Bombyx mori: one gene and its partners. The protein of the gene in region 1 purifies or fractionates together with the protein of each later gene. This does not show direct contact. Links are inferred from orthologs where the notes say so. Each region holds a gene or a part of one and is shown in the gene's direction. Other genes may lie near its edges.

Region 1 (4,234 bases):
TCTTATTAAATACGTTACATTTGTTCCATTTCATTCTTCGTACAATATTTTCAGCCTTAGTTACAAAATATTTGCTGTATGGCCTAGTTACTTTTGTCTGTCCAATAAACGAACTAAACATTCTCTGTGGTTCGATGGCTTAGTTTACATATTACGTGTATTATCTGTGCTATTTATCATAGATACCTACCTACTTGGCTTAAAAAACTTTGTTTCGAAGCCACTAGAAATTTATAAAAAAAAATCTACCTACTACCTACATATCACTACTAAAGATGGGTTAATACCGATATTTGTCAATATTAGCGAATACGAATATATTCATGATGTAATATTATAATAACTTAACTAATGCGTGAATATATCCTGATATCTTAATATACTTCGATAAAACGGGTAAACGAGTTAACCGAGTACGGTATTCGTGAAATAAGTTAATAATCATAGATAATACACATAAATTAGTTATTAAATTAATATAAATAGTATACTGTATCTAGGAATTTGATTTCATACTAAATATTTTACAAGTAATATTATGTACATTAATATGAATATTATTATTAAACCAGAATTTGGTCAACATTGTACATTAATATAAACAACAAGTTAGTAATATTATTTATTTCTTATTGGTGCATAAAAACATCAGCTTTTTTACTTTTTCTACCGAATGACCGGTACGTCGCTCAGAAATGAGTATTCCAGATTTCGAAAAAATCCTCTGATACGGTACTGAGGTGGCTAGTAGGTACACAACAGTTATATTAATAGTATAATCCATGAACCGTTTGGTTAGAAAGTCATTTCGATTCAAAAATCAAACTTTTATTTATAGTTTGAGAAGTTCTTAGAAGATAATTAACTACTACCACAAAAATATATTGTCATCATAATTTATTACATATAAACATTTAATGAAAATAAAGCTCACCGATTTTATTCCAATAAATGTGGAAATGCACTATTTTGTCTTGAGTCGAATCTTTAGTACAAACATAAAAAGTAATGCATTTAAAAATTCCCACTGGCATCTTTGACATGTAAAAAGTGCAATACAAAATAGTCCTTAAACTCATAGCGAAATATAGTTATTTTCATTGCTCAGTATATAAACATGTAGATTATCTCACTTACTCTTAGCGCATGCAGTGCATTGATATGAATGTGATAAACAGATATCCGCGAGACACGTACGGCGTATGTCAGTATATTTTCGTGTGATAGATATTTCGCTAGGAGTAACAGTGTTCTGTGGATAGATACAACCCGACTGATGTGAGCTGGCTATTATTATGAATAAGTGAATACGGAATATTAGCATATCAGAATTCGACGGATTACCGATAGACGAATACAAGCTGTATTACGAATATCTTAGTGAATGCTAATATATCGGTATCACCCTTAACCACTACCTACCGTATTCACTTCTCTTAAAAATGTGTATAATCTATGCTTCTCATTTTGACAATAAATAAAAAAAAAACCTGAAGATTTCCTTTCCTGTACTTAGCTGTTTATTGTATGTAATCAAATTAAATTTAGGTTAAACTGAACTAAAAAATTATAAACTGTGCAGAACGTAGAACTTAACATGGACAGCAAGACAACAAAAATGCCGAAAGTGGCAAAGGTACGAAAAAAGTGTTTGATGGTATTGTTGAATAATATTACTCCAATTTTAACATGGATCTCACGATTTTTAGGTGAAGAATAAAGCACCAGCAGAAATCCAAATAACAGCTGAACAATTACTTAGGGAAGCCAAAGAACGAGACCTTGAGATATTACCACCGCCACCTAAACAGAAAATATCTGATCCTGAGGAACTTCGAGACTACCAACATCGTAAACGTAAAGCATTTGAGGACAACATAAGAAAGAACAGACTTGTAAGTAAATTCAATTTATTAGTCGCTTACAATGTATAAATGACTGTTTTTCCTATTAATGTAATTGTTTCTCAGTTTTAAGACCATCCAATGCTTAGTTTTACTAGCTGATAGAGTTCACCAAATTAATTTCATTAATTGATTTCGTGCCATTACGATCCTTTGAACAATATAGGTTTCATGCTGTTTCCACAATAAGAAGGGTACTAAACAATTTCTACTCAGAGCATTACTGACGAAAACCAGATGAGGATACTTTTATTTAGTAGTATTTCTTCAAGAAAACAACAAATAATATAATAATATCGAATTTTAGTTTAATGGATGCTTTGTTTTTGTTTTCAGGTTATTGGGAACTGGCTTAAATATGCACAATGGGAAGAATCACAAAAGCAAATCCAAAGAGCTCGTTCAATATATGAGCGTGCTTTGGATGTGGATCACAGAAATGTTACCTTATGGTGAGAGCTATCATTACAATTAACAATTTTATTTGAAAAATTATTAACTTATGTGCTCTTGGTACTGCCAGTGTTTAAACCATATGACTATTTTAAAAAATGTTTGAGAAATCTGTGGTGTTAATTTTTTTTTGCATTCTTGGCTCATCTGATAGTAATTGTTAGTCACACTACTGAGTACTCTTTGTAAGCCTCATTTGAACAAGGACATATTGTTGGATCACTCAAGACATGGGCTTTAGAACAAAATTCATGTCACAGTGAAGAAAAAAATTAATTCTTAAAGAGTTACCATACAAAGATCAGCTTATAATAGAACATATAAAAAAGATTCCTATGTCACTCTGTTCACATTACAATTTTATTTGGTTAGTAAACTTGTAGACAATTGTGGACGAAATGTTAAGATGTTTGATATACTTGTAATGACCAATACAACTATACTAGAGTTCATAGCCTTTGTGCTACCTAAAGCCCAATATATTTAAGGAAATACATACCCGATATGAAGAAATTTCATAAGTAAATAAGAACAAAGTGTCATTACAAAATTGATACTCTATTAATGTATTGTGAACTGGCATGTAATATATCATCCTGCCTATTTCAACAGTTATGCATTTGGTTTGAATTGTCCAACAGTTGTTTTATAAAGGAATTGAGACTTCAATCTCAAATTGATGCCTATTTAGTCCAAGAGCCACTTATTTAACAAATAAAACAATCTGTACTTTGAAAAATCTGTAAAAGTCATGGACTTTCTTGGTAAATTTCTTACAGTTTTAACTGTTAAATTTGCGTCACTCTTCAATTATCCACACTACCTTAACTACCTGTACTTTAGGCTGTTATACCACACCAAAATATTCTCAGCGTATCATGGGTTTTAGGCTGAAGTATACTGAAATGGAAATGAGGAACAGACAGGTAAACCATGCCCGTAATCTATGGGACAGAGCTGTTACAATTCTGCCAAGAGTATCTCAGTTTTGGTACAAATATACTTACATGGAGGAAATGTTGGAAAATGTAGCTGGAGCAAGACAGGTGATATTTTTTATACATGTACAATTTCTCGTATAATGATAATAGTCACTGACTGTAACTGAAACAAGGTTTCTAATTTACTTTTGTTTCACAGGTATTTGAACGTTGGATGGAATGGCATCCAGATGAGCAAGCTTGGCAAACATACATAAACTTTGAATTGAGGTACAAAGAACTTGAACGGGCTAGACAAATCTATGAACAGTTTGTTATGGTGCATCCAGATGTAAAGAATTGGATAAAATATGCAAAATTTGAAGAAAACCATGGTTTCATAAATGGCTCTAGGACAGTTTTTGAGAGAGCTGTTGAATTCTTTGGTGATGAAGAATTAGATGAAAGACTGTTTATAGCGTTTGCCAAATTTGAAGAAAATCAAAAAGAACATGACAGAGCAAGAGTGATTTACAAATATGCTCTGGATCATGTCCCAAAAGACAGAAATAAAGAACTTTATAAAGCTTATACTATTCATGAAAAGAAGTATGGTGATAGATCTGGCATTGAGGATGTAATAGTAAATAAGAGAAAGTATATGTATGAACAGGAAGTTATAGAGAATCCCACAAATTATGATGCATGGTTTGATTATATTAGATTAGTGGAGAATGAGGGTAATTTAGATGACATAAGAGACACATATGAGAGAGCAATTGCAAATATCCCTCCTTCAAAGGACAAACAATTTTGGAGGCGTTATATTTACTTGTGGATTAATTACGCTTTATATGAAGAGTTAGAAGCAGAAGATTTAGATCGAACAAGACAAGTTTACAGAACCTGTTTAGAATTAATTCCTCATAAGATATTTACTTTCTCAAAAATATGGCT
Region 2 (4,089 bases), on another chromosome or scaffold:
AATAAAAAATAAAATAATAAAAATGTATACCTGAATAATTATTTTCTTTAGACCTCGAATAGAACTTGAAATTAATATTTTTATAATAAGGAACTTCGTTCCTATCCGGTGTCCCACGACACCACACATCTTTTTTTTACAAAGGCTGTAGTAATGTCTGTTAAAGAAAAGTAAAATAAAATGAAAAAAATGTTTGAAATAAAATGAATTTGAATGAAATTATATGACCATCGGTGTTTTATGGGACGAAATAAATTAATCAGTCTGAACAATAGTGAGAGTTTACTCGTCACTTAACTTTTTAGAAACGCTTGAAAAACCAAGTTCAACAACTTGGTTCCATTTTCTTAATCTTATCCACTTTCACGAATACGAAACCGTTGCTATTTATTAAACTTGTAGAAACACTGGATTAAGAAAATAGCACAACTCAGACAAGTTATCTTCTCCTATTTCTGCCAAGATTTTGGAATCGACTAAGAAAATAGAAATTTTTTAAACTACTTACCTATCATTATATTCTGCATAAATTTTAGGCCCGACTCTACGAAAGTTTTAAAATTCTACTAAGTTTATTCACGCTGAAGGTAATTGTTTTTACTCAACTAATTATAATATGTGCTTAGTGATTTTAATTAATTAAAAATATATCAATCAGAGGTGCTACGGTAATAAAATACCCCATTCTTTCTAAATCAAGAAGCTCTGTAGTGATACGTTTTAGTATTGAAATCGCATCAGATTTTAAGAACGCCAAATGGCACTTCGAAACATCAGTAGCAGGCTCTATCCGAATCATTTTCTATGGTTCGTACGTATATTAAAATATGAGTTAAGAGTGTGTTGCTGTGTGTTATTTTGTTTCTGACAGGGTATACGAGGAACGAAGTTTTTTTATTTTTTTATTTTTCTATTTAGTGTTTATTCAGGATTAAATGTGTAACTTAACAATAACGGTGGTTTATTAATAATTTAATATCTGTGAAAGTGCACCAATGTGGGAAAATGAAATAAAGCTGCTGGACGTTGCTTCTCGGGATCGTCTAAAAAGTTTACTGAAAAAGTTTCAGTAAATAACCACAATTTTACTGAAATTATATTTCATCCCATATCATCTCATCTCATTTCATTTAATTTTAGGTCAATTTATTAATGTTCCAAATGAATTAATTTCATTTCATTTCATGTCATAACTATTTTTTGTCATAAAAAAAAAATAGCATATTAGGCTGTATGGTATGATACTTTTGCCTTTTTAGTTGGAAAAGTGGAACTACCACTTTGTTTTTGACAGGTGACAGTCTTCGTTAAACAGTAAAGTCAAAATAGCCTAAAAATGTGAGTTTTGTGTGACTTTGTTCATACGTTAGAATTTGTTAGATTTGATGGTTTTAAAGTGAAGCTAATACTTAAAATGGACGAAGTCACTAAATTAGAGCATCTTTCGCTCGTGTCTAAAATATGCACCGAGCTAGACAACCATTTAGGTTTGAACGACAAGGATTTAGGTGAGTAGACTACTTTTGTTTTGATCATTAAATTACATGATAAAAGAACGATGTCATAGAATAAATACAGCGTTGCTTATACCAAGCAATAATTATGTTAACCGATACGATAGATTAAAACGAGCATTTTTTAATCAGGTTAATTGGAGCTAGTCAGAAACAAAGAGATCCTTTTACCATACTTCGAGGTTCTTGTGTTTTAACATCTCTAATTTTTTCATACAAAATTGTGTCTGGAATTTTAAATTACTATATTTGTTGCAGCGGAATTCATCATAGATTTGGCTGATAAGAATCCAACATTTGAAACTTTTAAAGTAGCATTGGTTGAAAATGGGGCTGAATTTTCTGATTCCTTCATGACAAATCTACTCCGTATAATACAGCACATGAAACCTGTGAATACATCAACATTGATTAAAAATATTGCCGAAACTGAAAGTGAAAATCCTTTGGCAAAAAAGTTTCCTGGCTTGGCCATACCAAATGATAAACCTCAATCTTTTTCTGATGAAAGTAGTGATGATGAAAAAGACAAAAAGAGAATAACAGCCAAAGACTTATTTACAGAAGAAATTAAACCAAGTTCTACTGATAATGTTGTTGATTTGGCGATGGCTGAATTGGAAGCTTTAGCACCTTCCAATTCTACAACAAATGAACTTCTTATAGGAAAAGAACCCCTAAAAATTGAGAGTAGTAGAAATAGTGATCACAAAGAAAAGAATAAATCAGAAGAATCTAGAGATAAAGAGAGTAGGAGTCGAAATCCTAAAAGAAGCAGAAGTAGGGAACGTAAAAGAAGCAGAAGTACACAGAACACAGATAAATATAAACTAGAAGAATCTCGAGATAGAAAAAGGCATAGTAGAAGTCGAGATCGTAAAAGAAGTAGGAGCCGAGATAGAAAAAGAAGTAGGAGCCGAGATCGTAGAAGAAGTAGGAGTAGAGATTATAAAAGAAGTAGAAGTAGGGAACGTAAAAGAAGTAGAAGTAAAGGTAAGAGAAGTCGTAGCCGGGATAGGAGAAGCAAAAGTCAAGACAGAGACCGTAGAAGAAGATCACACAGTCGACATCGTCACAGATCCAGGTCTAGGGACAGGCGTAGATCTTACTCGAAAAGTAGAAGATCAGTATCAGGTGGCAGAAGATCTCGTTCAAGAAATAGAGAAGAAAAATTTGATTATGGCAAGAAAAGCAGAAAACGCAGCCCTGAAGTAGAATTGAACGATGATCCTGAACCAGGAAAAGTAAGCTCCTTTAAATGTCTCAATTATTGCATAATTTTTATCACACTAGTTCAGTTTGACTCTCTACTTTTAGGGAAGATAGTGCAACTTTTGCTCCTGGTAATATATTTTATGAAATTAGCGCATATTATTTGCACTTATTATTTGGCATACTCACACTGTCTTTTAATATGTAACCGTTTTCTTATTTTATCACACTCAATTTTGTGAGCCTTGCCCCCATTGTGGCTGTGCCACTGCCCTGTTTTTTAACCTTTTTAAAAATATCTCTATAGTATAAATTATTCAATATACTTTTAGACAATGATAAAAAAATAAATACTCACCATGTGAATAAATTATGACATTGGAACCAATACTTCCTCCCGTTGTCATTAACATATTATTGCAACTTTAAAAATGATTGTTTTTTTTGGATATACAAATTAAAATATTTTCATAAAGGATTTATCATTAAGCAAAGTGTGAATTAACTTGGAATACTGTTTTAATTTATGGCTTGGTAGATAAATTATTTTTTAGAAATAATAATTCTTCTACTGTTGAAATTATGATTTTACAACGTTGATATTAAAAATACTTAGTCCTATTTTAAACAACTTGTCTCTAAGTTTTTGGTGAACTGAAAAGCCTTAGAGATTGTAATTAGAAAAGTAATCGAAAGCTTTGGCCTAAAGAGTATGATATGTTGATCCAACGTAATTCTTATTTCACTACATTATGGATCAATGTAAGCAAGAGTAGGCACAAAGTTATTCAGCCTACCAATACAACTAAACATTTGAGAATTACACTGTTACCATGTACATATATCAGTTCCTTTATTGATTTACAGATATACAGTGGCCGCGTTGCAAACATTGTACCATTCGGCTGTTTTGTTCAAATTGAAGGAGTCAGAAAAAGGTGGGAAGGATTGGTGCATATCTCACAGCTGCGAGCTGAGGGTCGTGTCACCAATGTATCTGATGTTGTCAATAGAGGTGATAAAGTTAAGGTAAATTAGTATTTAAGTTTTAATTGAGCACTTATAAGAGAGTATTGGAATAACTTGAAGCAAAATACCAGTACTCAATATACTCAGATACAAAATACTCAGTAAGATACCCACTGTCCAATTTTTATTTTTAACTCCTTTTGGTCAGTGTTATTATCATAGAACGTAATTGAAAAGGAAAATGCTAAAGAAATTGAAAGATTGAGGGAGAAGAAAGAGACAAAAGAAAGGAAGTTAAGAGATGAACTCAATCTAATCATAGATAACTATAGTAATTAATTTACATATATACAGAAACAAAAATTTCACATTTACAGGTCAAAGTAATCTCAAT
Region 3 (4,061 bases), on another chromosome or scaffold:
TGTAGATCTGAATACTTAATTTTTGATTTTATGCTACATATTTCATACATTTACAAGCCATTTTTTTAATTCATTCATACCTTTGTTTAGATTCATAGAAATGTAAGAAATTATGTAAATATACCTATTGTACTGTACTTACTATTAAAAATTGTCACATCGTGTTATTGAAAATATGTATGTATTAAGAATAAATTAAAATGAATATGTAAACGAATATTTGTATTATTTTAACGATTTTATAGTGGATTCTAATAGGTAGTTGCTCATATCTTTAACACAAATTCTCTTATGTTATAACGTAATTTACTACGTCGTTATTAATGGCCGTTTTCTAATTAGAGCACAAGGGCGCATTATGCGGCATAATGCTCAACTTAGCTTCAGCATAATTCGGCATTGTGCGTCACTGAGTCGCATTATGCTCTTGTGCTGTAATTGGAAAAGGCTTAGGTGTTTCTTCAGGTTTAAATGTGTAATAACGGCGGTTTATTAACTGCTTAGTATCTGCGATAGTGCAAAAATGTGGGAAAATGAAACAAAGCCGCTGAACGTTTTGAAGTTGTCGATAAGACGTCCGGTGCATTCGTATGTAGCGATGCACCGGTGTTCAAATCCCGCAGGCGGGTACCAATTTTTCTAATGAAATACGTACTCAACAAATGTTCACGATTGACTTCCACAGTGAAGGAATAACACCGTGTAATAAAAATCAAACCCGCAAAATTATAATTTGCGTAATCACTGGTGGTAGGACCTCTTGTGAGTCCGCACGGGTAGGTACCACCACCCCGCCTATTTCCGCCGTGAAGCAGTAATGCGTTTCGGTCCGAAGGGTGGGCTAGCCGTTGTAGCTGTACTGAGACCTTAAAACTTATATCTCGAGGTGGATGGTGCATTTACGTTATAGATGTCTATGGGCTCCAGTAACCAGTTAACACCAGGTGGGCTGTGAGCTCGTTCATCCATCTAAGCAATAAAAATAAATAAATAAAAAGGTAACTTCTCGAGATCCTTCAAAAAATCTTAGTAAATGACCACCATTTTAATGAGATTCTATTTCATCCCATATGATTCCCTCTCATTTAATTTGATTTAATTTCATGTCATGTTTCATATTAACTTCATTTCATTTCATAATATCATTTTTCATTTAGAAAAGATTTCATTAAAATTAAAATAAGACTTGACCTAAAAGTCTTAGTTACCAGGTCATAAAATCCTTTTGAAAAAGTGCATCACTTTGATTGCTTTGACTGACAGTGACAACACAATTGACATTTGAAAAATTAAGCATTTTCACTATTTTCAGATTGCTGCATACATATTTGAATTATAATTTTGCTGTGTAAATCATAAATAATCTAAAGTCTTATTTTCGGGTGTATAAATTAAGTAGGTACTAACACCGCGGAGTATGGTAATAATGGACAGTGCAGAATCTGTCGGTAGCTTAGAAGAGCAAGCTCTCAAAAGAAAAGAAAGACTGAAGAATCTAAAAAGAAAACGAACAAACAGTGATAATACATCACATAATACTACAAATGAAACAATGACACTGCCCAAGTAAGTTATAAACAATTTAATCTGTAAATTCAAAAACAAAACTTTACTAGTGAAGGATTATTAAATTTAAAAAAAAATGAACGCTCATAGCTTGTTATGGCATTAATGTATTTGATGATTTAATAACTAGCCAAGACGTTCGTAAAATACTGGGAAATTTCTTGAATCACTGAACCAGAATGATTCCGATCCGGTAGTAGATTCATTTGCGAAGCAATTGCTCTTGAGTTGTTAGGTTTCCTTCGAAGGCGCTCAGACAGTTGTTAGCAAATCCTACCCCTCCTGGCTGAGCCTTTGTTCGCCACCTGTCCTGGTGAAACTGGAAGGGCCTTCGGGCCACCAGTAATCTTTCAATCATAAAAAGTGGGCATAAGAATAATACCACTAAATAATTTGCATGATTTAATGGCTGCTGGTAAATAAAACAATAATCAGACTATAATTTTTGTAGCTATTTATTTTCCTTATTATTCTTTTTTTGTGTAATGTTTGTTTGTGATATTTATTTTTAAAACCAACTATCATTATTGTAGACCAAAATTTAGAAGTTACAAGCCTCAAGATGGAGCGTTACAAGAATCCAAACTTAGTGATGCAGAACCAACAGTGATAGAAGAAGAAGTAAAAGATTTGTTGGAGGCTGGTAAAGAAAAGGTACTACAATTAGCTATATTTACATAATGTAAACAACCACTGCTCCCAAAATTGTAACAATATTTCAAAAATAAAATGATGTTCATGGAAGTTCCAAGAATATTTGTATAATAACGTTTTCCTTGGATGTGGGAGTAATAAAATAATTAAAACAATTGTTACAGTTTTACTGACAACTCAATGATTCTTGAAAATTTCTACACAATACAGTTAGGAAGTTAGTTTAATGATACAGCTGCCACTGCTTTTCCATCTTGACTTCATCTTGTAGTCACCGTAACTAAGTCATCTAAATTAAATTCAAAATAATCAAAAAAATAATTAAATAAGTACTTGGAAATGGACACTCTTAATGAAAAATACTTTCATACAAATTTTATGCGTAGATTAACCATGGATGAATGTTCAAAATGTTAATTTCAATTTGTTGTGATCTATTTAAATTATTAAATTTATAATTATCTGAAACATATAACAGCTATACCTGAGTCCTTAGAACTTATGTCTCAAGGTGGGTGGCGCATTTACGTTGATGTCTATGGACTCCAGTAACCGCTTAGCACCAGGTAGGCGGTGAGCTCGTCCACACATCTAAGCAATACAAAAAAAAAAACAAGTTGTATTTGTTATTTAATAATATGAAAAAACTTTAGGTGGTGCTCCAGGATCTCGACATAACAAGTTTAGCACCAAGAAAACCAGACTGGGATCTCAAACGAGATGTGGCCAAGAAGCTAGAGAAATTAGAACGGAAGACACAGAGAGCCATAGCTGAATTGATTTGGGATAGACTGAAACATGGAAATGAAGATAATTTAAGTGCTATGATTACAATGACTGCTAACCGACCTACCATTACAGATGATGACTAAATTTTATGTGTCCCGCAATAATTTTATATAAGAAACTTAAAGCATGCAAAAGTGGATTTAAATATTAAATGTAGTTGTGACCTAAAAGATAAGATGCCCAGTGAATTAATACCGAGGGTATGACTGTGCTATTGTGCGAAACCTGTAGGTGGAAAGTCAGTTGTGTAATAAAAAAAACTCAAAACCTATTAAATTTGTATAAGTATTGTTCATGAAGCATAATTAAGATCCATATGTTTAGGGTCCCATAATCTTAACAATAGGTTTGAAGGGTGGAACAGCCTTACAATTCTGATTTTGACCTCCAATCTCAAGGTGGATGGCAAAATTCATGTTACAGTGAGCTCTGAGCTCCTAATGCAATTAGATAAATTTTAAATCTTTTTTTTTTGTATTTTAGTTATTGTACTTTGATTATGAAAGAGTTATCTTTATTTCTCAAGGAGAGCACTGGCTTTCACATTGTGTTGTTAAGGGTCTAGGTAAACGCTCACTTATACATGTGCCATTAGTCTCTTTGTCTTAGCTAAAAACGAGAACAAAAATGAACATGGATATGGATCCAATATTAATTCAATTTAATTTGTTAATTGTAAATACAGATTCATGATCAGTACTTCAACAGGATCCATGAGCCACTCATGATGGATTATTCCACCATTCTTGTCTTCACAAAACACCAAGTGATATGTATGTATGTATATCTAAATCTATTTTAATAAAACAGTTAATTTAATCTCAAAGTATTTTAATATCACAGTATACTAGTAATTATGTAAACGATATCTCTCGTTAGTCTATTAATTTATATAATAAATTATTCCTACCACTTTTTAAATAGGTATGTACATGTAATAGTCAGATTTATACTTTACGGAACAATTTTCTAACAGTTTTTACTATATGTTAATAATAATAAATTAGTTGCCATAAAACTAATTCTAATTAAATCATTAGTAGTTCTAGACA
Region 4 (4,141 bases), on another chromosome or scaffold:
TTACTGCTTCACGGCAGTAAAAATCAGAGTGTTGCTACCTACTCTTGTGGGCGTATAAGTCACCCTACCATTAGTAATTACGCATTATATAATTTTCGCAGGTTTGATTTTTATTATAGGCTCTTACAGTTTTACTGGCTTGGACGCAGCGCTCGATCCGAATGCACCGGGCGTCATAATCCGCAGGCCACCACCCCTTCAATAGCTGGTCGTTCTTGATGGACATTCTGGATTATTATTAGTCTGGACTGGATGCGATAGGCAAGAGACCTAGAATAATGGAGTGTATTTGAAGAGACCTATACTCAGCATTAGGTGGATAAGGTTTGAAGAAGAGATGAAAATTCTAGAGGCATTTAAGAATTCGTCCATTACCTTCGTAGATTGTTTTCATAAGAAGTGTAATACTTATTAACTGTAGATTATTTTGAGTACCTTAAAGGACTAGACTATATCTGTCAAAACCGTCAGATTTGACAGTTTTTTGAAAAACTTTGCGGTCCATCTTATCGTTTCATTACATATATTTCGTTCAATTTCATTCACATGTATTACTAATACAAAATACATTTTTTTCATTACACTCCGGTGTTTGGTTCCTTTGTTATCCAACACAGTATTTAAAAAAGAAACGAGCTGCCGAAGAGATATTTAATTTTGAGTTTGAGTAGGTCAGAATCGCATAGTATAACTCTTTCCTAATGATAACCTTAACGGTTTCCACTGCTTTTCCTTTTGCTATAAAATATTACAGGGCTTTTGGTAAGGTAATGTAATGATTATTTAGTTGTAATTATACTGTATACCTAGTTGAAATTATATTAACCAGTAAGTATACCAGCCCCCTTCAGCTCCCTTCCATTTTACTTTTTTATTATTCATCCGTCTTTAAGAACGGATTTCGTTTCTACCTCACGTTTAATTTCTTATCTGCTTTTGTTTGGTATATACTGGTGGCAGATACAAAGATTGCAAGACGGCGCCAATGGCGAACTCTTCTATCTATTTTTGCTATAGAGCAATCTTAAATTCCTGTTTAAAAAGGAGAAATGCCGATATTCCCAATAAATTAATTCGTGACTAGTTAGATTAAATCAAAAAACAACTAGAAAACTATTTTGTTACATATCTCACTATCGAATAGGAAAATATTTTATCATACTTGAAACTGAGAATGAGATATTTATCGTTTGTGTAATTTGCTACTCTGAGCTTACCTTAAATTACGTAAAAATCAACTGTTTATTTGAAAATCATTGAATCCAAAGATATTAAGTGATTACTTATGTTGTTTATTTTAATTCCTTCAATGAAGTAGGAAACCTATAGGTCTATGAATTCCTTTGACAAAATGACATTTGACTTTTTGAATTGTCATTCTCTTTGAGGTTATGTTTGATATAAACAAACCGCTATCGGCGCTATCACACAAATAGTTAGCTATGTACCTAAATTTCATTTAAATTTCGAATAATTTAATATAAACACACGTGAAAATGTCGAGTAAGCCTAATTCTAAGCGGACAATATACGTTGGAGGGCTAGCTGAGGAGGTCGACGAGAAAGTTTTAAACGCTGCTTTCATCCCTTTCGGGGATTTGGTTGATGTTCAAATACCTTTGGATTATGAGACTGAGAAGCATCGGGGCTTCGCTTTCATAGAGTTCGAAAACGCTGAGGATGCTGCCGCAGCGATTGATAACATGGTCAGTACTTTTACAGTGAAATACATGGCAGATGCTGGACATGGATTCTTTCAGTTCTAGTCCATAGGTATGATACAAAATACTCATTTTGGTACAAACGAAGGGTACACATCTTTGTTTATCGTTAAAGAATGTGAAATTACATTCAGGAATTATTTTTGGACAAATAAGATATATAAGTCTATATTTATTACTTATACAATAATATCTGACATTTTAAATTCTTACATTTTTTCGGTCTTAAATGTCCATTGTGAATATAGTAAGAGGTGAAGAAGTGTTATTATTGTTGTTATAACTCGGAAGTCCCCGAGTTTTTATTACAGATGGTAGGGTATATTGTAAGCCCAAGGGGTAGGTGCCACCAACATGTTTATTTATGATTTCTGATTGGCACAGTAGCCATCACCAGTGGAATAACCACAATTGAAACTACAACCTTATGTCTCAAGGTGGGTGGCAGCATTCACATTCTGATGGCTGTTGTCTTGTAATTACATAAACCTGGTGACATGAGTTTGTACATACTTATCACAAGCAAAACCTACCATAGCTAAAGGAATCTATATTGAAGAGTGAAATGCTATTTGGTATAAGCAACATTTTCCTTAATACACAACTTCATCTTCATAATTAAAGGTGTGTTTTATTTGGTATTAGCAAGAACAGTTTGATGGTTTTAATTGCTCTTTAATTGAGTTTATTCCATTAAAAAAGCTAAAGAAGTTTATTTGTTATGGTATTTTTTCCAAATTTTAAACTTTAAATGGCCTTTAAGTTCCAAAAATGTCAATATGTCCGAATGTTTGTAGGCAGCGGCTTGGCTCTTCCCCTGGCATTGCTGACGTCCATGAGCGACGGTAACCACTCACCATCAAGTGGGCTGTATGCTTGTCTGCCTATACGGCAATAAAAAAATATGTCACTTAAAACAAATAGCCTTTCACCCCTCAATATAAGGTATTGAAGGGAGAATTAAAATTATTTGTGTGTAATTTAAACCTCATCATTGGAAAATACTTTTTACTGATATTATAATTATATTTGTAATACATATTATTACAGTAAATAAAATATTGTTTCACATATATTTATACACGTCATGTTTCAAAGGTTTTTTTTTTTAAATTCCGGATTAAAGGAGATTTTGATTATTTTAATAATTTATTTAATTGACTAACACTAAAATGTTTAATATAATATTAGCTTAATACATTATCAAACTGCCATTCATAACTAAAGTGTAGGATATTGTAATAGAAAAAAGTTATATACACAGTAAATAAGCTTTTATAAAATAGGTTTGAAATTATTAATCTACTAGAAAATGACATCCATAGAGACATAGATGACCCTAGAAATATAGACATATTGTGGAATGCATAATTAAAAAAATTTAAACATGCTTAGTAATATTTTCTCATTTTAACTTGTAATCTAACTATTTATTTCTAGAATGATTCAGAACTATTTGGTAGAACAATACGAGTGAACATAGCAGCTCCGCAACGCATTAAAGAAGGCTCCACACGACCTGTCTGGTCGGATGACTCATGGCTGCAGAAACATGCTGGGGAAACTCTTCAACTGAACAAAGATGGTGAAGAAACTGAAACGAAAGACAAAACCGAAACTACTAGTGTAAGTAATCTAAAGTACATCAAATTAAGAAATAAGATGGTTATGATTCGGACATAACATGTGAAAGGATAATAAATATTATCCAAAACATTGATAAAGATGATTGATTTTAAGGATGCATAATATAAGGACTAAAGCGTTTAAAGTAAATGTATAAAGACTCTGGGTAAGGGGTTTGATAACTTTGTCACTAGCATTAGTCATATTCTTGAGATAACATAAACTCTGTCAAACGTTTGGCTTGTAATTTGGTATTATGTCAGTTACAGAGCGAATGCTACCTTCAGACGTTAATTACAAGTCTGAATTTTATTTAAATATCGACTTTTCTAACTTCACCTCAAAGGAAGTGAAATTATGATGGTAATTTTTTGTTCTATGATACTCTCCATGTCTTCGTATTGTGTCCAGTTTTCCAGTCAAGAGTTTATTGAGTTAGCACATACATTAAATTGTTTTCAAGTGATGTTATGAATATACTAAAACAAAGTGTGTAAATTTACATTGAAATTCTTCTCTTCTTCATCTTTTTCTCCACCTTATCCCACTACACACTTTACCCAGGTGGGCTTGAGCTCGTCCACATATCTAAGAAATAAAAAAAAAACTAGGTGGGGTCGGCACAGCTAATTTTTCTCTTCCATTCTCTTCTATTAGCCATCATCTCAACACTCACTCGTCTCTCTCATATCATATCGTCGTTCACACATTCCAACCATGTCTTCTTCGGTCGACCTCTTCCTCCTCTACCTTTTTCATACTATTTCCATAGATCTCCTAGTCACATGCCTCAA

The links. The genes of interacting proteins can lie anywhere in the genome.
Region 2: the proteins of protein crooked neck (region 1) and ATP-dependent RNA helicase DHX8 purify together in Homo sapiens (affinity purification with mass spectrometry; 3 studies listed by BioGRID and IntAct, counting the BioPlex papers as one, with this or other methods). This does not show direct contact. The link is inferred for Bombyx mori from reciprocal best matches to the Homo sapiens genes CRNKL1 and DHX8.
Region 3: the proteins of protein crooked neck (region 1) and coiled-coil domain containing 12-like protein purify together in Homo sapiens (co-immunoprecipitation; 3 studies listed by BioGRID and IntAct, with this or other methods). This does not show direct contact. The link is inferred for Bombyx mori from reciprocal best matches to the Homo sapiens genes CRNKL1 and CCDC12.
Region 4: the proteins of protein crooked neck (region 1) and peptidyl-prolyl cis-trans isomerase purify together in Homo sapiens (affinity purification with mass spectrometry; 3 studies listed by BioGRID and IntAct, counting the BioPlex papers as one, with this or other methods). This does not show direct contact. The link is inferred for Bombyx mori from reciprocal best matches to the Homo sapiens genes CRNKL1 and PPIE.

Annotation. Positions count from the first base shown.
Region 1 is NC_085124.1:5,696,923-5,701,156, forward strand, and holds the start of protein crooked neck, read left to right. Parts: upstream 1-1,434; 5' UTR 1,435-1,597; coding exon 1,598-1,636; intron 1,637-1,709; coding exon 1,710-1,895; intron 1,896-2,240; coding exon 2,241-2,356; intron 2,357-3,246; coding exon 3,247-3,403; intron 3,404-3,497; coding exon 3,498-4,234. UniProt on the Homo sapiens protein: Involved in pre-mRNA splicing process. As a component of the minor spliceosome, involved in the splicing of U12-type introns in pre-mRNAs.
Region 2 is NC_085116.1:15,847,775-15,851,863, reverse strand, and holds the start of ATP-dependent RNA helicase DHX8, read left to right. Parts: upstream 1-1,289; 5' UTR 1,290-1,414; coding exon 1,415-1,508; intron 1,509-1,772; coding exon 1,773-2,758; intron 2,759-3,593; coding exon 3,594-3,755; intron 3,756-4,072; coding exon 4,073-4,089.
Region 3 is NC_085115.1:6,396,698-6,400,758, reverse strand, and holds coiled-coil domain containing 12-like protein, read left to right. Parts: upstream 1-1,261; 5' UTR 1,262-1,417; coding exon 1,418-1,566; intron 1,567-2,099; coding exon 2,100-2,220; intron 2,221-2,873; coding exon 2,874-3,092; 3' UTR 3,093-3,828; downstream 3,829-4,061.
Region 4 is NC_085121.1:14,019,557-14,023,697, forward strand, and holds the start of peptidyl-prolyl cis-trans isomerase, read left to right. Parts: upstream 1-1,341; 5' UTR 1,342-1,496; coding exon 1,497-1,706; intron 1,707-3,161; coding exon 3,162-3,347; intron 3,348-4,141. UniProt on the Homo sapiens protein: Involved in pre-mRNA splicing as component of the spliceosome. Combines RNA-binding and PPIase activities.